Arabidopsis thaliana: one gene and its partners. The protein of the gene in region 3 purifies or fractionates together with the protein of the main gene of each other region. This does not show direct contact. Each region holds a gene or a part of one and is shown on either strand. Other genes may lie near its edges.

What was found. The genes of interacting proteins can lie anywhere in the genome.
Region 1: the proteins of ATZW10 (region 3) and AT2G42700 purify together in Arabidopsis thaliana (affinity purification with mass spectrometry, with the first as the bait; one study listed by BioGRID). This does not show direct contact.
Region 2: the proteins of ATZW10 (region 3) and AT5G24350 purify together in Arabidopsis thaliana (affinity purification with mass spectrometry, with the first as the bait; one study listed by BioGRID). This does not show direct contact.

Annotation. Positions count from the first base shown.
Region 1 is NC_003071.7:17,776,465-17,784,087, reverse strand, and holds AT2G42700 (vesicle docking protein), read right to left. Parts: upstream 5,815-7,623; 5' UTR 5,625-5,814; coding exon 5,577-5,624; intron 5,415-5,576; exon of another isoform or gene 5,363-5,414; coding exon 5,219-5,362; intron 5,006-5,218; coding exon 4,856-5,005; intron 4,564-4,855; coding exon 4,120-4,563; intron 3,953-4,119; coding exon 2,420-3,952; intron 2,339-2,419; coding exon 2,054-2,338; 3' UTR 1,901-2,053; downstream 1-1,900. Other genes in the region: AT2G42710 (Ribosomal protein L1p/L10e family), read right to left, coding at 68-132, 297-399, 487-528, 669-746, 1,143-1,736; AT2G42690 (alpha/beta-Hydrolases superfamily protein), read left to right, coding at 6,406-7,422, 7,511-7,623. UniProt on the Arabidopsis thaliana protein: Required for proper maturation of seed storage proteins. Forms a complex with MAG2, ZW10/MIP1 and MIP2 on the endoplasmic reticulum that may be responsible for efficient transport of seed storage proteins.
Region 2 is NC_003076.8:8,299,091-8,305,504, forward strand, and holds the start of AT5G24350 (neuroblastoma-amplified sequence protein), read left to right. Parts: upstream 1-2,014; 5' UTR 2,015-2,220; intron 2,221-2,400; exon of another isoform or gene 2,401-2,415; 5' UTR 2,416-2,446; coding exon 2,447-2,533; intron 2,534-2,609; coding exon 2,610-2,661; intron 2,662-2,810; coding exon 2,811-2,984; intron 2,985-3,348; coding exon 3,349-3,547; intron 3,548-3,741; coding exon 3,742-3,950; intron 3,951-4,199; coding exon 4,200-5,166; intron 5,167-5,395; coding exon 5,396-5,468; intron 5,469-5,541; coding exon of another isoform or gene 5,542-5,554; coding exon 5,555-6,414. Other genes in the region: AT5G24340 (3'-5' exonuclease domain-containing protein), read left to right, coding at 1-133, 462-758. UniProt on the Arabidopsis thaliana protein: Required for proper maturation of seed storage proteins. Forms a complex with MAG2, ZW10/MIP1 and MIP3 on the endoplasmic reticulum that may be responsible for efficient transport of seed storage proteins.
Region 3 is NC_003071.7:13,950,369-13,959,330, forward strand, and holds ATZW10 (centromere/kinetochore protein, putative (ZW10)), read left to right. Parts: upstream 1-3,296; 5' UTR 3,297-3,438; coding exon 3,439-3,996; intron 3,997-4,094; coding exon 4,095-4,232; intron 4,233-4,339; coding exon 4,340-4,513; intron 4,514-4,647; coding exon 4,648-4,809; intron 4,810-4,934; coding exon 4,935-5,165; intron 5,166-5,255; coding exon 5,256-5,369; intron 5,370-5,448; coding exon 5,449-5,541; intron 5,542-5,673; coding exon 5,674-5,769; intron 5,770-5,920; coding exon 5,921-6,049; intron 6,050-6,145; coding exon 6,146-6,223; intron 6,224-6,314; coding exon 6,315-6,473; intron 6,474-6,554; coding exon 6,555-6,684; intron 6,685-6,797; coding exon 6,798-6,880; intron 6,881-7,018; coding exon 7,019-7,102; 3' UTR 7,103-7,380; downstream 7,381-8,962. Other genes in the region: AT2G32880 (TRAF-like family protein), read right to left, coding at 1-19, 107-137; AT2G32885 (Rapid alkalinization factor (RALF) family protein), read left to right, coding at 1,894-2,112; RALFL17 (RALF-like 17), read right to left, coding at 2,690-2,923; AT2G32905 (B3 domain protein, putative (DUF313)), read left to right, coding at 8,057-8,698. UniProt on the Arabidopsis thaliana protein: May be required for accurate chromosome segregation. Required for proper maturation of seed storage proteins. Forms a complex with MAG2, MIP2 and MIP3 on the endoplasmic reticulum that may be responsible for efficient transport of seed storage proteins.

The DNA of each region.
Region 1 (7,623 bases), 3.8 Mb from region 3:
TGTTATGTGAGAAGATATCGCAACATCATGTTCCAAAGAATTTAAACAAGTGCTCAAATCCAAGAACCTTGTAAACACGGGGCATCATTTTTGGAGTTGCAAGACATCTATCAAAGTCAATCTTGCCACTTTCTGCAGATAGAGTTAAGGTACACAGATAAATAATCTACCACTGGAACATAATTCGATAAACAAAAAGATTGCTCAGGAAATGAGATAAGTTGTGGCAGAGCCAAATGCAAGCATGTTCAATTAGATGTCAGAATGAATTGAAGTAGAATGCATTGGTTCATTACTCAAGATCTCTTCAATAAGCTCAAGACCACCAACGACATCAGCTCCTGCAGCTTTTGCATCCTCTGCATCAGCTCCCTCGGCAAAGAAAGCCACTTTCACATCCTGAACAAGGAAGATCATTTCTTGTATTATATTAGTGGCTGGTAAAATAGAAATTCCGATTATGGATTACAAATGCATTTCTTTTACCTTCTTAACAGAGTGGGGTAGAGCCAAAGTACCACGAACTATCTGCAATTTAAACAGTGATAGCAGTCAGTCTAGAGATAAAGCCAGGGGCAATCAACCAAAATGCTAAGAACGCGATCTTTTTATTAAGAATAGGATAGAGAAATTAATGTATTTCCAGAGAAAATAAATGCATCACATACCAGCTCAGATCTTCCTTTTTCAATGCCCAATCTCACATGCGCCTCAAGAGTTTCATCAAATTTCGCCTTGGCATTGCCCTGAACCATTGATAAAAACAGCATCAGAAATGAAAACCATACGAACAAAAGGGATGCATTGCCCTCACTCACTCAACTTGTAAATCAACTCAGCAACAACAACTATTACCAGTTTACAGAATCCACAAATCTCACAGTACCACCATTACACAAAACTTGCATGATCTAAACTAATCCACAACGTCTAACAATTCTTCCAAGACTCCTTATGTTTCACATTATATAGTCATATGATCCTAATCATCATAGCTTCCTTTATAATAGTCATTTGAAATCCCCTAACTACGAAACAAGCAAAAAAATTAATCCTTTGACACAAAATAAATAAATTAAAAGAACCCTAAATAGTGTAGCTTCCATTCTATTACAATGGCAGCTCATATTAAGAATCCTGACCTTAATCTCTCTAATGGCCTCCATGAGATCGAAAATAGGTTTCTTTCCATGCTTCAACTCTGGTTTAAGCAAAGTTGGCAAAGGAAGTGAAGAAGTATCTTCTTCAACAGCATTAGCTCTTAAAAACCTTCTTCTAGCTCGATTCTCTAATTCAATCCTCTTCCTCTCCCTCTCCATCTCCTCTGGAGTTCTATCTCCTTCATTCTCACCGGCGACACGATCCTCCGGAAGTGGAGCCACACGCTGAGCGTAAGAAACCGGATTGATCGAAGGAGAGTCTTTCACATATCGGATTTCTTCACGAGTCCAGTTCGCTGATTCTGGAGACTGAAGGTTCTCCGTCGATTCAACATTTTTCGGTTCAGATTTCTGATCCTTGGGTTTGGCCGCGTACGATACTGGCTCGATTGTAACAGCCTTTTTGCGAGATTCGTTTGAATCGGGAGATGGATTCGAATCGGATGATGAAGATGAAGATGAAGATGAAGATGAAGATGAAGAGAAGAGTCTTGGGATTTGTTGAAATGGAGACGAAAAGGGTTTGATTAGACCTTGGCGGCGAGCTTGAGAGAGTAGGAGCTTCATAGCTGCCATTGTTTCTTCACTCACTCGAGGTTTTTCGTGTGAAATGTGATTTTGGGGGTTTAAGGAGATTTCTGATTTTTAACTTAAAAGCTTTTCTGTAAATGTTATAAAACTTTAGGGACCAAAGATATAAATAATTTGAGATTTTTTTTTGAAAAATCTCTTATTCACAATTAATAACCAATCTTTTCTTATCTCTTGAAAATGGAACTATTGTTTTGTAGATTTTAACATTCGATCATTAATTTATTCATGGGTATTTCTGTTTCTTCTAATGTTACAAGCTAACAACAGAGATTATGAGAGTGAGGTCAGTTTGCAAGATATCAAAAATGGCTGAATTGTCCCAACAATAACTCAAACATGTCGTCGGGGGTTAGAAGTGTCGTTCCTCCAATAACCAAGTTAATGTCTGGTCTTCCGCTCTCTGACACAGCCTCTTGAGCTTCCAAAACCTTAACAATGGAGGAAACATAGACAGTTATAAAAAATATAGCCCTACAACGTGAATGCGAGGTGACTTTTGTGATGAAGAAACTCACCTCTATACCGTTGATACCTCCAATGACAAAGACAAGAATGACACTCTGGTCTGCCAGGCTTGGTTTTGCCTGCAATAGCATTGCCAAACATTAATGTATATCTTGTGTAGGAAAATGAAAGTCATGGGTAGAGAGAAAGGTCTAACTAACCTGACCAAGACCAAACCTTCCAAATCCGCTTTTAATAAATCTTCCAACAGTTGAAGAATGGTATTCTAAACCGGGTATCTCTTGTTTGCTCAACACTTTTGTTATAAGCCTGTAGACTAGCCCTTTGTTTCCAGAAGGCTCGCCAGGAAAGCTGCTCTCTGAAGCCAATGAGCCTTCTCTTAATGGTAGATTCCTTGTTCTTAGACTCGATAACTTGTGGAGGAACCTAAATAAGCTGTCTACTCTATCACGCAAATCCAGTTTCAGCTGCATATCGTCATAGGACTCGTCTGCTTTACTATTGTCAACTTCTTCTTCTTCCTCGTCACCCCATTTCCCCCATGGATCATCATCAAGAGCATCAATGTCTAATTGATCATCAGAGGGAATTTCTTTGGTTTCCTCAGACTTGAGACGATTCAATCTGCCCTCAAGCTCTTCTGTCAACCCATTAAGAAACTTGAGATTTCCTGCTGATGGATTCTCCAGAACAGCATCGACAATGGCTTCTTTTAGAAAATGCTCTTCTTGCCAAGAGAAAGGCCCACCTGAGCCAGATGTAGGGAAATTTTCGCCAGCAAGAATGTAACCAACTATTGTAAGAAGCAGGGCATCACGAAAAGATAGCAGCCCTCGTGATGAGGAATCTGGTTTCTCGTTTTTCTTCGCTTGAAGTTCTGCCACAGCGCTTTTGTTGATCAGGTCACTAATTTGAGCAGCCAAACCCTGACTCGTATCACCAGCACTTACGTTTAACATCATCTCCGCACTGCTAAAAGTATCCCATTTGGCACTTTGAGATTCATCAAGAGCAGCGGCTGTAGCTGCCCCTAACTGAATAATCCCTTTATTTTTCAACAAAGACGACTGGCTTTGGGACAATGCTTTGATCATGGCCTGGAGCTCCGGTTTTGTAGCATAACCAGGACGAGCTCTCACGTTAACAGAGATATTTTCGCGACGCAAAGCCTCTTGAAGCCATTTCTTCACCAGTACACTTCCATCCTTCGTTTTCCTATCAATCATGGCCTCTAAGTAAGGTGTTCCTCTAAAACATTCAGTAGCGACAAGAGATCCATTTAGTAGTTCAGTCCAGTTGGTGGTAGATTTCTTGTCACATTCATTAAACAAACCTACATTTTGTGGAGCAGAGGTATATGAATCCCAGCCACGTAAAAAAGCTTCAATTCCTTCAGGAAGACCAGAATCCCGAATCTTGCTTGGTTCTTCATTAAGCAGTTCCCCAAGCGGCACTTGAACATCAAGAGAAGGACGATTGATGCTTGGGACCCCTTGTTTAAGCTGTGCTTGTGAAGAAAATCTTTCTGCCCGAGGCAAAGATGAAAAGATACGATCGAAAAGTGAATCCCCGTGACAGCAGGGAGTGATAAGATCAAGTGTGCGGTCAACAAGTAACAAGCCAGCAGATCGCTTACGACGCGCTACATCATAAACACTTGACATGTCTGTTAGAATCTTCCCAACATTCTTCGATTGGTCACCAAGTGAAAATATTTCCAACTTCAACTCCATCTACAATTTTAAAAAAGTGACGACATGGTCACAAATTTAAGAAAAACGTACAGAAGAAATTAAATTATTGACAAACAAGGGAAACAGATATCTTCTAGTGTTCTAGCTCACGTACTTCATGAACATCGTGAATTAAGTTCAAAGCGGTTACTGCAGTGTTAGTTTACCTTAAGGGCCAGCTGGTAAAGAAAATGTGCGGTAAGAGTTGCACCAGGAGGAACATCATCAGTGTCAGACATAGATCCAGTACTTATGGGAGGCAAACCAAAACTAAGAGAATCCTCATGTTGACGGGACAAGGACGCTTCTGCGACTGATCCTTGGGAAGGTAAGACAAACGCTCGAGGAGTGAAAGGACAAATAATCAAGGGGAAGTGGTGAACTGAGACAACCAAACCTTGTGCACCACCTGATGAAATATCTACATTTTCGCTTTCAATAGGCTCCATAGTAAGGGATTCAAGTGCAGAAGAGAACTTAGAAACCCCTTTGTCTTTAGATATTTTGTCGCTTTTCTTAGTATGTTCATTGTAATCCTGAACAAGTAAGGTTTCATACTCTCGATACGCGTCTGGACCTAGAGGTGAATCAGGGATAGCTGAGTGAGACCCCTGTACAACGTTCAGATTAATATTCAATGACGCAAGAAAAGAAACAAATATTCTGAAGAGTCTCTTATAGATGGAAAATTATTTTGAAGAAGGCATAGAGAAGCAGAACTGCTAAATTAAGTTAGAGAATACATTACAATCACTTTGAATTTGATTATATAACGATCACTAGTGTTGATAAGTCAAATAGCTTGTGATTGTTCTAGAAAATAAAAAAGCCAATATATATATCCAGAGAAAAAAAAGAGATTAAATAAAGAATGAGACCAAGGATAACGTTAAAGAAGAGCACCTCTGAAATAGATGTGAATACGGTGCAGCGCTGAACACCTTCATGGGTGCTTAGACACCGTAGCATATACCGATGAGCATCATTGAGAAGTCGAGATGTCATAATCACAATTCTCTTGGCACAATCAGACTTTGAATTCCAATCAGCCACCTAGAGCACAAGGCATCAAAAGTCACATCATATAAATTAAATCAGAAGATTTCTCACTTTCTAGGTAAAAAGATCCCCTTCATACCAAAAGTATGAGGATAACAATCTTCCTGTTCTTTATCTAGATCCTCAATTACCAACACTAACCGTTGATTGATAGGATATTCCTTAGCCAACATTGTGCAGGAAAAAAAGAAACGGTAACAAGCTTACCGCATCTAAGGAAGTCATGTTTTCAAGACTGCAGACAGCTCGAGCACCTAGTTCCAAGAACAAAGGGAAAGCTCCTACAAATTGAAAACTTTCTGTGCAGCCAGCATCGATATACACAATCGCATCTTTTACATCCTCTTCTATCTACAAAACAAAACATTTCCAAAATATCTAAACCTTACTTGTTCAGGATTACAGTAAGGTACTTTTACATTTCCCAAGAACACACAAAAACGAGCAAAACGAGATCATGGAGAAATCGTAATGATTCAGGTGCAGCAGATCAAAACGTGTAACAAGATGAGACCAGATGAAAAAAAAAAAAAAAAAAAAAAAAAAGAGAATTCGGATTTCTTACTTCGCGGATCGAATTGAGACAAGATATCGCGACATCGATCAGAGCCATTGCTCTCAGCTACGAGAATTGGATACAATTGGTCGAGCTAGAGTGAAATCGCCAGTTAGAATCAAATTACTATGAGATGTGTTGTCTGAAATCAGACTGATGCCTGAACCACCGGAGAAACACTGCTTTCGCTTCGCCGGGAAATCTCACCGACGACGAACATGATAGCTTAACTTGATATCGTTCGTCGTATGATCGTCACTTTGTTGGGCTTTTTTACACTTTTTGGGCTTTGAATTATCTTTGATTTATTATGGCCCATCATATATTAGTTAACGGGTCTAGGATGCAATGTTATCAAAGGGGGATATATTGGAGATGAAAGTGATTAACTGAAACATAACATTGGTTAACAAATCATTTGCACTATTGAAGGATGGGTGTTGGTGGGGTCGCGAAAAACAAAGGCATGCTCAAGACCGAGGCTGGTGATTGGGTCATGGCCATTCCGGACGACGAAGACAAGCCTGTCGTCGCGTTTGATTAGTTGCAAACAAACAATAAGTCTCTTTTCGTGTGTATCGATTGATTTGGTTGAATTTTCTTCTCTCTATTTGATTGGGTTTATTTTTACTCTTTTTTGTATGGTTGAGAATGATGTGCAAGTTTGTGGATAATTCTATATGCCAATAATATTCCCACACCAGTGATAACCTTTTATCGCTTTGGACATAAGTGGGTCAGACAGCATCATCACCAGTCCACAACCATTTGTATAAAGTTAAACAACTTAAGAGTCAAGAGTCACTTATTATCTCCTTACACACACCATTTCTCTCTAATGGCTACAACAACCACATCATGGGAAGAACTCTTAGGCTCAAAGAATTGGGACACTATCTTAGACCCATTAGACCAATCACTTAGGGAACTCATCTTACGTTGTGGCGACTTTTGTCAAGCCACCTACGATGCCTTCGTCAACGACCAAAACTCCAAGTACTGTGGAGCCAGCCGCTACGGCAAATCTTCTTTCTTCGACAAGGTCATGCTCGAAAACGCTTCCGACTACGAGGTTGTAAACTTCCTCTACGCCACAGCTCGTGTTTCTCTCCCCGAAGGTTTGCTTCTCCAATCACAATCAAGAGATTCTTGGGACCGTGAGTCTAACTGGTTTGGCTACATTGCTGTCACGTCTGATGAACGGTCTAAGGCTTTAGGACGCCGTGAGATCTATATAGCTTTGAGAGGAACGAGCAGGAACTATGAGTGGGTCAATGTTTTGGGTGCTAGGCCAACTTCAGCTGACCCCTTGCTGCACGGACCCGAGCAGGATGGTTCTGGTGGTGTAGTTGAAGGTACGACTTTTGATAGTGACAGTGAAGATGAAGAAGGGTGTAAGGTGATGCTCGGGTGGCTCACAATCTATACTTCTAATCACCCCGAATCGAAATTCACTAAGCTGAGTCTACGGTCACAGTTGTTAGCCAAGATCAAGGAGCTTCTGTTGAAGTATAAGGACGAGAAACCGAGCATTGTGTTGACTGGACATAGCTTGGGAGCTACAGAGGCTGTTCTGGCCGCCTATGATATAGCTGAGAACGGTTCCAGTGATGATGTTCCGGTCACTGCTATAGTCTTTGGTTGTCCACAGGTAGGAAACAAGGAGTTCAGAGACGAAGTAATGAGTCACAAGAACTTAAAGATCCTCCATGTAAGGAACACGATTGATCTCTTAACTCGATACCCAGGGGGACTTTTAGGGTATGTGGACATAGGAATAAACTTTGTGATCGATACAAAGAAGTCACCGTTCCTAAGCGATTCAAGGAATCCAGGGGATTGGCATAATCTTCAGGTAAGAATCTGTGAGAAGAATCTTTCAAATTTGACTCAAACGATACAGAGTAGAAACTTTTACATATTTTTTCCATGTATGTGTGCAGGCGATGTTACATGTTGTAGCTGGATGGAATGGGAAGAAAGGAGAGTTTAAACTGATGGTTAAGAGAAGTATTGCATTAGTGAACAAGTCATGCGAGTTCTTGAAAGCTGAGTG
Region 2 (6,414 bases), on a different chromosome or scaffold from region 3:
GTTGCTTGATCAAGCATTCAAAGAGAACAGAGTTCTATTAACAAGAGATACAAAATTGTTGAGACACCAGGATTTGGCAAAGCATCAAATATATCGAGTAAAGAGTCTTCTTAAAAATGAGCAGCTACTTGAGGTACAAACAAAGTTAATTTTCAACGTATAAGCTGTTATGCAAGATCTGTGATGTGGCATGATTTGGTTTACTAGATTTATTAATCAAAAAGGACACATACCCTGGAAATTTTGCTTTAAAGAATAGGATCTCTCAAGACACTAGTTAACAAATTTATTTTTAACCTTACTTTCTGGGTGGAACATTTTCTACACTACCTGTAATTATGGCATGCTTGGATTCACCGAGCCAAAATAACCTCGTCCACTCACTGTGCAACCACTTTTCTTACATTCAGTAGAATGATTACGGATTTTTTGTGAATTACTGAAACAAATAAGCTTCGCAGGTGATAGAGACTTTCCAGCTAAAGATCAGCGGAAATCAGCTGATGTCCAGATGTACGAAGTGCAATGGGAAATTTATTCAGAAACCTCTAAGCATTGAAGAAGCTATTGAAGCAGCAAAGGGTTTCCAAAGAATACCCAACTGCTTATTTAACAAAAATTTAGAGTTTTGGCAGTGCATGAACTGCCATCAACTATACTGGGAGGTAAGTCACCTACCCCATCTTTTGCCGTTGTGCATTATAGTTCTTGAACGAGTATACCTTGTGTCAAAAAATCATCTGGTCCATCTATGTTAGTTGTTTTGCTGATTGAACAGTCAAATTTTAGTTGCCTAACGATATTTATCAAATCAGTGATCCAATTAATATTTGTATGAAGTCTTAGTTGGTGAATTGAATCTTGATTTCTTTAAAACATCTTCATGTGTTCATGTCTTAGAGCAGAAATCATCTCCACAAGATTCATAACTTCCTATATAGCTCTGATCTGTTCTGTCTCTAATAGTCAGTGTCCGACATATTTAATGTTTGTTATGTGGTTTCAGGGAACTCAGTATCATAACGCAGTCCAGAAGTTCATGGAAGTATGCAAGTTGAGTGAGTGATTCACTTTTTTTTTTTTTTTTTGGGTTTTTACAATTTTGGTGAAGTGTTCAATCTCTCGTTACCTCAGTTCCTCAAATGTTTTTATTTTATATCAAACGTCTCTAAGCAAACAAGATGTGTTTGTAACTTGTGTCGTTTGCACACATGTGTTCCAGAGGTTATTAACCGTGTACAAATGTTTTAGTTTGTTTTACAAAGTTGAACACATTACTATCTTATGAGAAGAATAGACTTGTAGTATTTTCTATTTACCAGTTAAATTCTTGCATAATTTTCAAAGTGGAATATTATTTTCAATATGCTTTCTTGAGATGATGGCTTTTCTAGCCGTAGATTCATGCATTTTAAATATGATGATATACCAAATTTAGGTATTGTGGATTGGATTGGTCTAGTTCATTAGTTAGGCAAAAAATTTAACCTCATCAAATCAACATTACCTCTCTTCCTAATTTTCTCCATTGAATTCTTGTTCAACCATTTTTTTTCTTTCACTAGCAAATACGGTGATGAACTCGAAAATGATATCTTTGCGACAGATGAATTAACCGGTATAATTGGAAAGCGTTTCTTGAGCATCAGTGTTCCTACTTGAGGAAGAGTTGTCTTGTAGACCTAAACAAGAGATCAATTGCCCCAACACGAAACTATGTAGATCAAATAAGTATTTAGTTCACTCTTCTTTGCTCACTTCAAATATGTTTTAGACTTATTAGAAAATCCGGTGAGTCAGATATTCGACGGGCACATTCACATCGGAATTAATAGTTTCATAGGGTGTTGTCTCTTAAATTTGGACCGACCGGTTGGATTGCCTATCTGCCGTATAAAGAAAATAAGACAAGAGAACATTAATTTCATGGTTGAACCGGACGGTTCTTGGCTAAATTGAACCGAACCGATTGATTTCAGAAGGTATGTATAACTTTTTTTACGGAGTCGTCATCACTTTCTCTGCTCGTCGGCGAAGTTCACATTCACCGGTCGTATAGTGTCTTCGTCTCCTTCCTCGTGAAATTTGTTCATCACAGTCTCTACAGTCACCACCATAGGAGGTCGTACCGCCGGATCTTCGCCACACCATTAATTTCTGCGTTCTCTCTTCTCAATTCGCCGCCGATCTCTCTGAGCGTAATTACCAAATCGTGCTTAGGTATGTCATCAAATCTTGTCTCACACCTTCCAATTCATCTCCATGCACTAATTCATTAAGTAATTAGTCAAGGGTTTAATTCAAACTTTATGGTTAAATCGACGAGAGTGCTGATGTTTTGGGGTTAGGGTGTGAAGAAAATTATATTGATTCTCTCTCTCTCTCTCTCCTGCTAATTAGATCTCCTTCTCCTAGAAACTGCTGTGAGGATCGATCTCGATTGATCATGGAAAGTCCTGGAAGAAAAGTTTTGTATGAGATACGTCATCATGCTTCATTGCCTTATGTTCCTAGATATCCTCCTCTTCCTCAGGTACAAGATTCATCATTGCTTATACAATTTAGTGTTTTACTTATATCTTACGCTTTGATCCGCTGTCCAAGTTTAGGCAGATGGAACTAATTCGAAAGGAGGACTTCGGTCACTTGTTTCCATCAAAGGTCAGTCGCAGATGGTTAACTCAGAGATCTGTGATTTTTGAATCTTTGGTTTTATGAGCTTGTAGGAATCATGTTTGTGTACATCTCTTTTCATTAAATTAGCAGTATAGCTCATTGGTTCTTCATCTCTGTGCTCTTATGGTATTAAGGTGTTAGTCAACTCAAGGAAAAGTGGAGTGAATACTGGAATCCGAAAAAAACTAATAAGCCGGTGTCGTTATTTATTTCACCAAGAGGAGAACTTGTGGCTGTCACTTCTGGAAATCACGTTACTATCTTGCGAAAGGATGATGATTACAGGAAACCTTGTGGCAATTTTACATGTAAGAAATTCTGGCATATCTTCCCTTGCTTTCACAAATGTTTGCCTGATTATGTTTTTCGGGGTCATTGCCATAGCACACTCAATAAACGAATTTGTAGAATATTGCATTTATCTTGTCAAAAACTATCTACTTGATTTACTCTGATAACAAACGCCTATAAAACTTGCATTTGCTTCTTTTTCTCTCTAAGTTTAGTATGTGGAATCACCGTTTTGTGAAACCTTAGACTGTACCAGTCATTTATTCTGTTCATTAAAAAAATATGCTCTCCTCACAATACCGTTTTCCTTCTTTCTGTTTCTTAACTTATGGTCCTTTGATGTCTATGCTATGGTCCTCTAACTTCTGTATTCTGCATCAGCCAGCATATCAGGTTCATTTACTTCTGGAGTATGGTCCGAAAAACATGATGTTCTTGGTCTTGTGGATGATAGTGAGACCCTCTTTTTCATCAGAGCTAATGGCGAAGAAATAAGTCAGGTCACAAAAAGAAACTTGAAGGTTTCTGCACCAGTATTAGGATTAATGGAGGACGACTCTGATTTGCAACCATCATGCTTGTACGTTTCCTTCTGTTCATATTTCTTATTGATTAAGACTTACAGAGTACTTTGTTCAAAAAAAAAAACAGACTAAAGGAGTACTCTGGGATCCTAATGTGTCCTTGACCATTACAGTATACTTGTTTGCTTAAGGTCTACGGCTGATATGAAATTTTGACTGGTGGTCTGTGCTAATGATAATTTGCCTGCAGGTGTTCGTTCAGTATACTTACGTCAGATGGACGTATTCATCATGTCGAGATCAGTAGGGAGCCAAGTGCTTCTGCCTTTTCCAAGCATGCTTCAAATAGTGTCTCAAAGCAATTCCCCAACCACGTTTTCTGCTTTGATTACCATCCAGATCTTTCTTTTCTTCTCATTGTTGGTAGTGTTGCAGGCATATCATCGTCAGGGAGTTCTGGTAAGTTTTATACAACTTATTTTAGTTGAGGAAAGTTTGGAATTAGGAGTAATTAAAAAGCTACACTTGCTTGAAATCATTCAATTTGGCAAACCATAGCTGCGTACTATTATATGAGAATGCTACCTATACTTTATCAGTGTTTGTGATAGTTGAATGAAAAATGTGGTTGTTGAAATATTTCCGATGAACAGAGATGTTAGGTTCATGATTCTGCGATAATTAATGTTTTAATTTACTTACTTTCAGGTTCATCGTGTATCTCGCTTTGGCGTAAGTGTCAGAATTTAGGTCTGGAATTGTTGTCCACCACAAAGTTTGATGGCGTGTATTGTGAGAACAAAGATGATCAGTTGGCATATCCAAAGACTTTAATCTCCCCTCAAGGGTCACATGTTGCAAGTCTTGATAGCAATGGGTGCGTGCATATTTTCCAGTTAGATAAAGCAAGATTGACACTTTCGTGCTGTCCTTCTGAAGACAGTTCTGATTCACTGAAGCCAGATAAGTCGCTACAAAGTTGGAAAGAAAGTTTAAGAAATGTCGTAGATTTTACTTGGTGGTCTGATCACGCCCTTGCAATTTTGAAAAGGAGCGGTAACATTAGTATATTTGACATCAGTAGGTGTGTTATAGTTCAAGAGGATGCTACCATTTATTCTATGCCTGTCGTGGAAAGAGTTCAGAAATATGAAGGACACATTTTTCTTTTAGAAAGTTCAACACAGGAAGCAAAATCAGCTCTGGCCAATGTTGACAGGGACGCAAGTGAATTTCATCATACTAGTGAGCATAGTATGTTATGGAGGCTAATATCATTTACTGAGAAAACAATTCCTGAAATGTATAAAATCTTAGTTGAGAAATGCCAATATCAAGAAGCGTTAGATTTCTCTGATAGTCATGGCTTGGACAGAGATGAAGTTTTCAAGTCAAGATGGTTGAAGTCAGAAAAAGGAGTCAGTGATGTGAGCACGATTCTATCAAAGATAAAAGATAAAGCTTTTGTGCTCTCCGAATGCTTAGATAGAATTGGGCCAACAGAAGATTCCATGAAGGCCTTACTTGCGCATGGACTTTATCTAACCAATCACTATGTATTTGCTAAATCTGAAGATCAAGAATCCCAACAACTTTGGGAATTTCGTTTGGCTAGGCTTCGTCTATTACAGTTTAGTGAAAGGCTTGACACCTATTTGGGGATAAGCATGGGCAGGTATATATCTTTACTCTTGCTATCTTCTCTTCCTTTCTGCAGATAGGAAACCTGGTATGCCATATAGTACTAGTCTTGCATATCCAGGAGATTCTATGGTTATCTAACACAGGATGAGTGTCATTTAGAATTTGGTTAGAATTTGTCGATTCTAGAGTTTAAAGTGGTTTTGTGGGTTTGATTGCAACTTGAAAACTTAGAAGTTAGAACCCTCTTTTGCCACCCTTAGATACCCACTCAGGCAAGTTTCATCTGATATCACCAAGCTCTTTGCATATGGGTTCTGCATTTCAGAATTTTCGGTTCCTTTTTATCTGCTGTTAAACTTCACTATCCAGTTACTTCTTAAAATGGTTAATGACATTGTCTCCACAGATATTCTGTGCAGGATTACAGAAAATTTCGGAGTAATCCTATCAATCAGGCTGCTATTTCACTTGCTGAGAGCGGGAGAATAGGAGCCTTAAACCTGCTATTTAAGCGGCATCCTTATTCACTTGTTTCGTTTATGCTGCAAATTTTGGCAGCTATTCCTGAAACAGTCCCTGTTGAAACGTATGCACATCTTCTTCCGGGAAAATCTCCTCCAACCAGTATGGCAGTGAGAGAAGAAGATTGGGTTGAATGTGAGAAGATGGTTAAGTTTATTAATAACTTGCCGGAGAATGGCAAGAATGATTCTCTGATTCAAACTGAGCCAATTGTTAGAAGGTGTTTGGGGTATAATTGGCCATCATCAGAAGAACTTGCTGCATGGTACAAAAGTAGAGCTAGAGATATTGATTCGACCACTGGGCTGTTAGACAACTGCATTTGCTTGATTGATATTGCATGTCGAAAAGGCATATCTGAGTTGGAACAGTTCCATGAGGATCTATCATACTTGCACCAGATAATTTATTCTGACGAAATTGGAGGCGAAATCTGCTTCAGCTTAAGCCTTGCTGGGTGGGAGCATTTATCTGATTATGAGAAATTTAAAATAATGCTTGAAGGGGTTAAAGCTGATACTGTGGTTAGAAGATTGCATGAGAAGGCAATTCCATTTATGCAGAAAAGGTTTTTGGGGACAAACAACCAGAATGTGGAGTCCTTTCTAGTTAAATGGCTGAAGGAGATGGCAGCAAAAAGTGATATGGATTTATGCTCAAAAGTTATTGATGAAGGGTGCATTGATTTATATACTGTTTGTTTTTTTAAGGATGATGTTGAAGCTGTTGATTGTGCTCTGCAATGTTTGTATCTGTG
Region 3 (8,962 bases):
AGCTGCTCTTTTATGGCGTCTATATTACATTACATATGAGTAAACATAAATAGACATAAATGAATTTAAACTTATATGTACGCATGAAGAAAGAAGTAAAACGAACCTTCAAATGACGTTAGACCCATTTTGAGCATGATGGTCGTCGTATAATACACCGTAGTAGATTTTTTTAGTTGTATTGGAGTGAGAAGAAAGTAGTAAGCATATGTCTGTATATATAGACAGGTTCCTTGACAAAGGGGTTTCAATTAGGGTATAAATTGAACCGGTTATATATATCTTAGTTGCTCTTAGAAAGAAAAAAAGAAAAAACAAGTTTAATTTAATGTAGAGCCGGTTTTTCGGCTAATTTATTCACCCCTACACATGTTTGGTCTTGACAGGAATCCGTATGGTCCAAATTGATAACCTTGAGGATATATTCATTTGCACATCATTCAACATAAAAATTACTTTGTATTAAATACTTTTTTGGTAACCAAAAAGTTTTAAATGTAAGAATATCCAAACTCTTTTCGGGTTAACAACTACAACAAGTTAAAATAGTTCGTTTCCTATGTTAAGTTCAAATTCATGTTTTGTATTTAATCTTATCTACGGTTGTAACCGTTTATTTAATCTATCTCATTTATGTATCATTCCGGGACTTTTCGGCATCGAGTACCCGGTTTCTTTCGGTTGTAATCGCATTCGAAGATTAATATAATATTGTTGACAAAAAAAGGGTTTCAAATTCATGACTTCGAAGCTATATTAGATGCTGAATTTTGGTTAAACATAATAAAGCAATTTATCTTTCCTTGGGTAAATGAATAGACCGATAAATATGTGACCCTATTAGAAGGACCTAGTGCATGGGGCGTTACTTTGGGAATATCATTTGTAAATTGTACATATTGTATAATATCATTAGTTGATACAGCTGATACATCTCCCACTACGTTGCATGCATACAAAATTATAATATCATTTGTTGCATGTCCCAGATCTGAGCACAAAACTTTACGTAACTAGTGTTGCTAATATAATGCTACCACATGAACTGGCTGGCCGGTCTAACAAAATCCAAGCTAGAGAAGATAACTAAATTCCACATAGAAATAGAAATATTCGATCATATCTAGTACGAATCCTCCGGTCCCGTCAAACACACTAGCTTTTATTTTGTTTCTACCAAGCACATTCGTTTTGACATGTACGACCAATTAAGCACCTACATGTATTCCCACGTTATCTAGAATCTAACAACAGTGGGGTGACAATTATAAAGGCGAGATATGTACGCCTAGCCAGAGACGAGCAACACAATGCAATGTGCCTAGATATATTTCTTCTTTTATCAATAACTTTTTTTTCTTACATCCATTTTTTATTTAACATCTATTTAACTTAAAACATTTCTCTCTCTCTTTTGTTTACTTTATATTTAGAAATTTTACTTTTATGAAACATTCTTCATGGCTTTTTTGTTTTTTTTTTCTTCATTATTTGTTTTGTTTACAATATCTCTACAAATTTTGAACCAAGATATGGTATAATGTACTTATTTAACAGTACTATGTTAATTTTTGTTTTAATTTGAAGTAAAACTTATAACGAATTTTTATTTGAATATCAAAAAACGACCATATTTTAATATTTTCTTTAGTTGTTTTGGCCTCTAAAATATTAGAAACGGCTTTGATTAGAGATATCTTTATTTTTACAAAAATAATAATAATAAGTATGGTTCACCAAACAATGCGCAAACCCGACAAAACATTCAACGGTTACAAATGACTAAACCAATCAGAAAATTCTTTATTTAGCAACAAATCTTCACTATATAATAGCGCAAATGTTTATTGGGAATAAGAAGTAAAAAGTAAAAAAGTTTATCAATAAGGAAAAATGGGTATATCCAAGAAAACAGTTGTACAATCATTTGCTCTTATAATTATTATATCTATCGTCATGAGCACAACGGAGGCAAACAGTATAGGCGCTCCAGCTATGCGAGAAGATTTACCCAAAGGTTGTGCTCCTGGATCTTCAGCTGGTTGCAAGATGCAACCGGCTAATCCGTATAAACCAGGTTGCGAAGCTAGCCAAAGATGTCGTGGGGGTTGATACTATGAGATATAATTTTTCTTGAAAAAAGAAGAAAAGATAAAATTACATAAATAAAACTTAATTTTTCAACTAAATTAGTAAAACTATAAAATACAAAATTTTTGTAACTAATTCTATGAGAATAATGTTTTTTTAAGTAGCAGCAAGCTGAGACTGGTACGTGTATGGTAAGCTAGTATTGTCTAACTTAGCAAAAGATAATTGTATATTACCAGTCATTTGTTATATTTTTGGATATTTATGTAGAAAATTCATGTGTATTGTTATATAAGAAAATAATTAATATATTTTGTTGTTTTTTTTAAATAAATAATGTACTTATAATAGAGGTAAAATGTGTAACGCTAGGATAAGTACATTCTTGTCGGATCCAAGAAAGTTAGTAAACCATATATTTAAGGCAACAGGTTCTTCTTCGGATCATAATCTCTCTCATTAAGGGGAAAAAAGAAAAAGCAAATAGATTAAGAGAAAAACAGAAGAATCGGAAAAAACTTGAGAAAAGAAAATGGAAACGAAAAAAAAGTAATAAATAAATAGCCCTATATATAAAGAATGCATCATGCATGCATGATCAAGCATATATCCTCATCTTGTTGATCACTTTGTAAACATCATCCACATCATCGTCGTCGTCTTCTTTCACCGCCTCCACACACCGCTCATTATCGTCCCCGAGGCTGCCATCGCCGCCGCCGCATCCTCCTCTACTGACGTCAGCAGCAGCACCAGACTCGACTCTCATGAAGAAATTGCATAGGAGAAGTGTTAAGAAGCAACATATAATAAATTCTCTAGATGCAGCCATGGATCAGACACTTTCTCTCTATCTCTCTTTCTCTTGTCTGAAAAACAAATGATAATATAGATTAATCCAACTTACTTTAAAAGCTTTTGTTCTTTTTATTTACTATGTTCTTTTGTTATGCTTTTCTCTTACAATTGTGCTTATATAAGAAATGGAATTTACTATTAATGGAGTAGAGTGATTTCTTTTGAGCTGGTCTTAAGGCTAAGTAACTGTTGCAGTATTTTACTTGAATATTCATAGCAAAAATAAAGAAAATCATTTAAATAAGTGGTACGTTAGTGACAAGGAACAAAAAAATGACATGTTTTCGATGTCAAAAAACATACATTATTACAAGTTCCCGATGAAGACTTGGGCCTTGAGCCTAACATTTTATTTGATAGGCCCAATAGTAAAAGTAAAATAAAAACGTCCGTGTTCAATAAGGTCCATCGTCACCGCCAAATCTATCACCGCCAATTACTCTCTAATCGGAAAAGAGCCCCGACGACAACGACCACCGTCCCTCCGTCATGCCGGAGATAGACGCGTTGTTTGAATCGATCAATGTTCGGGACCTTCTCGCCGGACACGATCTAAACGATCCCACAACTCCGTTATCTGCACCGGATCTCCGTCTCCTCATAAACCGCTTAGAGTCTCATTCTCTGCGGATCAAGTCCAAAGTTCAGTCTTATCTCGTCGCTCATCACTCTGATTTCTCGGAGCTATTTTCTCTTTGTCAAGACACCGTCTCGAGGACTCGTCTGATCTCCGATGACGTCTCCGATGTCCTACAATTGGTTTCTGACCGTCCGATTGATGTTGAGATACGCAGTGTGGTAGATGAGATAACGGAAAAGACTAAGGAAGTGAAATTGAAAAGAGAATCTCTTGATTTAGTGAATGCGATCGTGGGAATTTGTGAGGCATTGCAGGAAACGAAGGAAGCTTTGAAAAATGGACGTTTCAGATTCGCCGCTGAGAGAATCAGAGAACTTAAAGTTGTATTGAGAATTGGTGAAGAGGAAGATGGAGAACCTGTGGCTTACGCTTTACTTAGGAAGGAATGGTCTAATTGCTTTGACGAGGTGCAACCTTAGTTAAACTCAGTGCCAATGGCTAGCTTAGTGTCTTTAATCTTCGAATTTGCATCCACATTTCAAAGAATCGTGTATGTGTTTTGCAGATTCAAGAGGTGCTTGCAAAGTTCATGGAGAATGCAGTGCGTTTTGAGCTAGACTCGAGTAGAATCCGGATTAAGTATCAGCTAAGCGTTGGTGAGACTGCTGGAATCGCTCTTAGTACTGTTCTAGAGGCAATGGAGGTATGGATATATGATTTGACTTCTGTATCAATTTTTATTTTTATTTCTGTGTTAAGTCATTTGTTAGATTACACTTTTTGGCATTTGACTGTTCTGGATTTATCTAGGTGATTGGAATATTAGACTATGGGCTTGCGAAAGCAGCTGACTCAATCTTTAAGCATGTCATCACTCCAGCTGTAACTCATGCATCTACCTTTGCCGCTGTGGAAGATTTATGTAAATCCGCAGGGGAAGTCACCGAAGCGACACTAAGGCTAGAGCAATCCTCAGATCATAAGGTCTAGAGAAGCCTCTGTCCATCTCATGAATATCTTCTTTGTCTCTAGCCTATATAGATTATGTGCTTTTTATATTTCCTGCATTTGGTCTATGTCTTCTGAACCTTTAAATACTTACCCACTTAATAATGCAGTTTGAAGATGTGGATGGAGATGCAATGTATTCTGGAATTCTTAAGGTTGTTAAGTTCATTTGCAGTTCCTTGTGCTTTGGAAACGTTACATGGATCCATTCTTTTGGGAGGTTGACATGGCCGAGGATATCAGAGTTAATTATATCTAAATTTCTTTCAAAGGTTTGCTTTTAGAACTCGTGAAGTTGTGAAATTTTGTAGAAATTTCTTTGGTGTGAGAGCACTCTTCTCCTTTGTACTTTAACTGTTGTAGTCTGTTTAAAGGTTATTGTTTTCTTTGGAGTCAGGTTGTCCCAGAAGATGCTTCAAAACTTGCTGACTTTCAGAAAATTATCGAGCGGACCTCTCAATTCGAAGCCGCTCTAAAGGAACTGAATTTTGTTTCATCATCTGACGCAGAGAGTAGGCTCAGCAAATATGCTGAAGATGTGGAGGTTCATTTTGCATCTAGAAAGAAGATAGAAATCCTAGCAAAAGCAAGAAATTTGCTGTTGCAGTGTAACTTTACGATTCCCCAGGTGGGCTTTTGATTTTCATCATCATCATGTCATATTTACCGCATTAACCTTTTCATGTGAAAGATCAGGATTGTGAACTCCGTTTTCCAGGATATTGCTATGAGGAATGCCAAGCACATCGTCTGCTTACTTTTCTCCTCTGAAAGGTGTGTGGTATCTGAAGCTGCATCTCAACTTATGAATTTGGTGCATAAGACGCTCGAGGTGGCTCTTTTCAGACTTTTGCAATTCAATATAAGCTTTTTCCAGACACGGTTGGGATAATAAACTCATTTTTATACAGGATGTCTGTGTTTCTTCTGCAAGGGTTGCTTCAGAGTTCTACAACGCTGCTAGAGATTCTATCCTTCTATATGAAGCTGTTGTTCCTGTCAAGGTCAGTAAAAAAATAGTTTTCAATGAAGATTTAACAACTGAATCAATATAGTGACTGTCGTCACATGGAAATTTCTCACCAATATGCACAAATTCTTATTCTTCTTTTTCCTTACTCCGTTGAAATGTGAAGCTAGAGAAACAACTCGATGGCCTCAATGAAGCTGCTGTTCTTCTGCACAACGATTGTCTATATTTGTTCGAAGAGATACTTGGCCTTGCTTTTGAGGTATGAACAATGTGTCTTAAGCAAGATAAACCGCTATTTTTAATTTCTTTTTTTCGGTTAAGTAATTGTCTTCTTAAGCATCCTTTTCATTGACAGGTGAAAGTTATAATTATCCCCTTCTGCTGACTTTATCATCATTTTTTGTTCACAGTATCGTGCTAGCTTCCCTAGCTCCATCAAGGAGTATGCAGTCTTTGCTGACATAGCCCCAAGATTTAAACTGATGGCCGAAGAAGTTTTGCAAAAACAAGTTCATCTAGTAATTTCAAGTCTGCGAGAGGTGAATCTGTGTGGAAAAAACTGTGCTTAAATCTTACAAAGTAATATTATGTACTCAGTATTGATTCCTCGTCTAACATTTTGCATCTACGATCAGGCTATAGATAGTGCAGATGGATTTCAGAATACTCATCAAATTAAACAGTTTAAATCTGCAGAATTTAGCATTGATCAGGTAAACACACAGACTTGAAATTGTTTGCTTTTCTCTTACCTTCTTTCCAATAAAGTGTCAGTTATATGAGGAAAATGCAATTGTTTTATAGGTTGTCTTTAGTCTAAAGAATGTGCATATGATATGGGAGCCAGTCTTACGGCCCAAAACTTACAAGCAAAGCATGTGCGCAGTTTTGGAGTCTGTATTTCGCAGAATAGCTAGAGATATTCTTCTTCTAGACGACATGGCTGCTGACGAAACTTTCGAGGTAGCTGTTTCTCCTTGCTAGTCGCTTCTGCAATGTTATATTTTAACTGCGTAATGAAAATGTTTGCTTATATATTCTCAGCTACAAAAACTGATTTATCTCATGTTGAAGAATCTATCTTCTGTACTCGATTCCGTGAGATCTGCAGATGAGACTTCTCGTCCTCTTGATGATATCATACCATCTTTGCGCAAAACCCGTAAACTAGCAGGCATGTCTTTTCTTTCTTTTTTCTTTTAAATATCCCTCAGTTTATTGCTAACTTGACATTGGCGCAGCGAAGTTTTCTTACCATGGCTTTTCTTATTGTTTATCATTTTCCAGAACTATTGGATATGCCTCTCATGTCTATAACTTCAGCTTGGGAAAGCGGGGAGTTATTTAGATGCAATTTCACAAGAACAGAGGTACAATCTTTTTAAATCGTTTGACCTCGTGTCCTACTACCTGATATATGGATTAAGGCTATTTCTTATGGTGATTATTGGATCTTTGATTATTGGTTATGGTGATTCTGAAAGCTTTTGGAATGTACTTGGTTACAGGTACAAGATTTCATCAAAGCTATATTTACAGATTCGCCGCTGAGAAAAGAATGCTTATGGAGGATAGACGAGGTTAACCAGTAGATTGGAAATGATAAAACTTAAAAAAAAAACTCAAGACTTGTGAGAAGAAGCAAGTGAAAGCCTATTTTGGCAAAAGAGCCATGAGGTATTTTAATGTCAGCAGCTTGTAACATCGACGACGCACTCTTGTGTAAGAATATATATGTAAAGAGAGTTTTAGCTGATGAGTTTAAAACTTTAGGTTTAAAAGCGTGTTCCAGATTTTGTTGTACATTTGGGCTTTAGATTCAACAAGTAAAACGCTCTGGGTAACAACAATTTTCCGGTACAAATTCTCCAAATATTGCATTTTCCAGTTAGCTAAAAACTTGAAAACCCTTAACTAAGAAACTAATATAAAAAAAATAAAAATAAAAAAGAAGAAACTGATAGGATATTGAAAACCGTAACACATGAAAACACTAAATATTTCTATGAAATTATTGATACAATGATTTTCAATGAAATTAAACTTTTGATATACTTATTCAAATATAATGTATGATGTGTTTAGATGCTAATATTATATTAAAAACTATTTCATAAACTAATATTAAGTTATGAACACTAGGAAAATATTTTGGTCTCATAAACCAACAAAATTACATTAAGAAATAGAGTTAAGAGACATTGGTATTTTTCCTTTTTTTTTTTTGTCGACATTGGTATTTTTCCTTATGTTGGCCACATGTTTAAAATGTTAACAAAATCACATAACGGTCATAATTAAGGGCCCGAAAAGGAAAAATTTCATTAGAAGATCTTATTAGATTTAGTGATCTATCAAGAACTTGAGATGACGTCATATATTTCTATTTAATAACACCACACATCTATCTATCTCTACCTTCTCTCTTACTTTCAAGTTTCCATTCTCACGCTCATTGTCTTTCCTCTAGCTCTCTTTCTTTCTTTCTTCTTCCCCATCTTTAGGTTTCTTGCGTACAACGTTACAAATTCTTTTTACAATTTCCCATGTCTTCCAGAGAATCGAAGAGAATGGATGAATCTGATGATCCTAGGGTTTCAGAGTCGAGTGAATTCTCAAACTTCGAGATGTTGATACAAGTCGCTGTCATGGTTTACGATCATGAGTACGGTACTCATGACGAACACAAGTCAAAGACCATTGACGAAGATACAGAGACAGAAGCAAGAATCTTTGGAGATACAATACCTAGAAAGAACAGAACTCACCGATCATCTTCTTCTTCTAACAAGACGATAACACCATGGACGCGTGTGATCGAACAACAGAGATCATCTGAACTACAAAACCCTAACCCGGAATCTGAACCTTCTTCTTCCTCTTGCGTTACCCACTTCAAGAAACGTCGCCACATGGACAAAGAAGAGAGTACTCGCAAGAGACTCAAAATCGATAGTCCTTTAGAGGTGGAACCAATTCAAACATCACCACCGGAATGGCTTTTGAAAGTAATGAAGAGAGAAGAGAACAGCTACAATCCAAAATTGATCTCAACGAGAAAACTCTATAAGACTGATCTCGCTAGTCTTCAAGCACGTCTCTCAGTACCTTTTAAACAAGTGAAAAGTCCAGACTTTTTAACAGAGGAAGAAACAAGAATCATAAAGGAACAAGCTTTCTTCCTCTAAACTCTTTGGTCAATTCCTTCTTCTTTCTATTCGATTGTGATAAGATCTTTCTAGAGATCTAATCAGAACCTTGTGCCGCGGATTTGGAGAAACATCATCATCATCGTCATAGAAATCCTGCTCTTTCTTCGATTCTGTAAGAGTTCTTCGAGCAGACTCTAGATTCGATTTGTTTTTTTCCTTTTCGGGTTTGTTTCAAATCAATCTCAATTTCAGGGTAACCAAAGTTTGAGCTTATTCATTTTGATTCTGCCCGGATCTCTA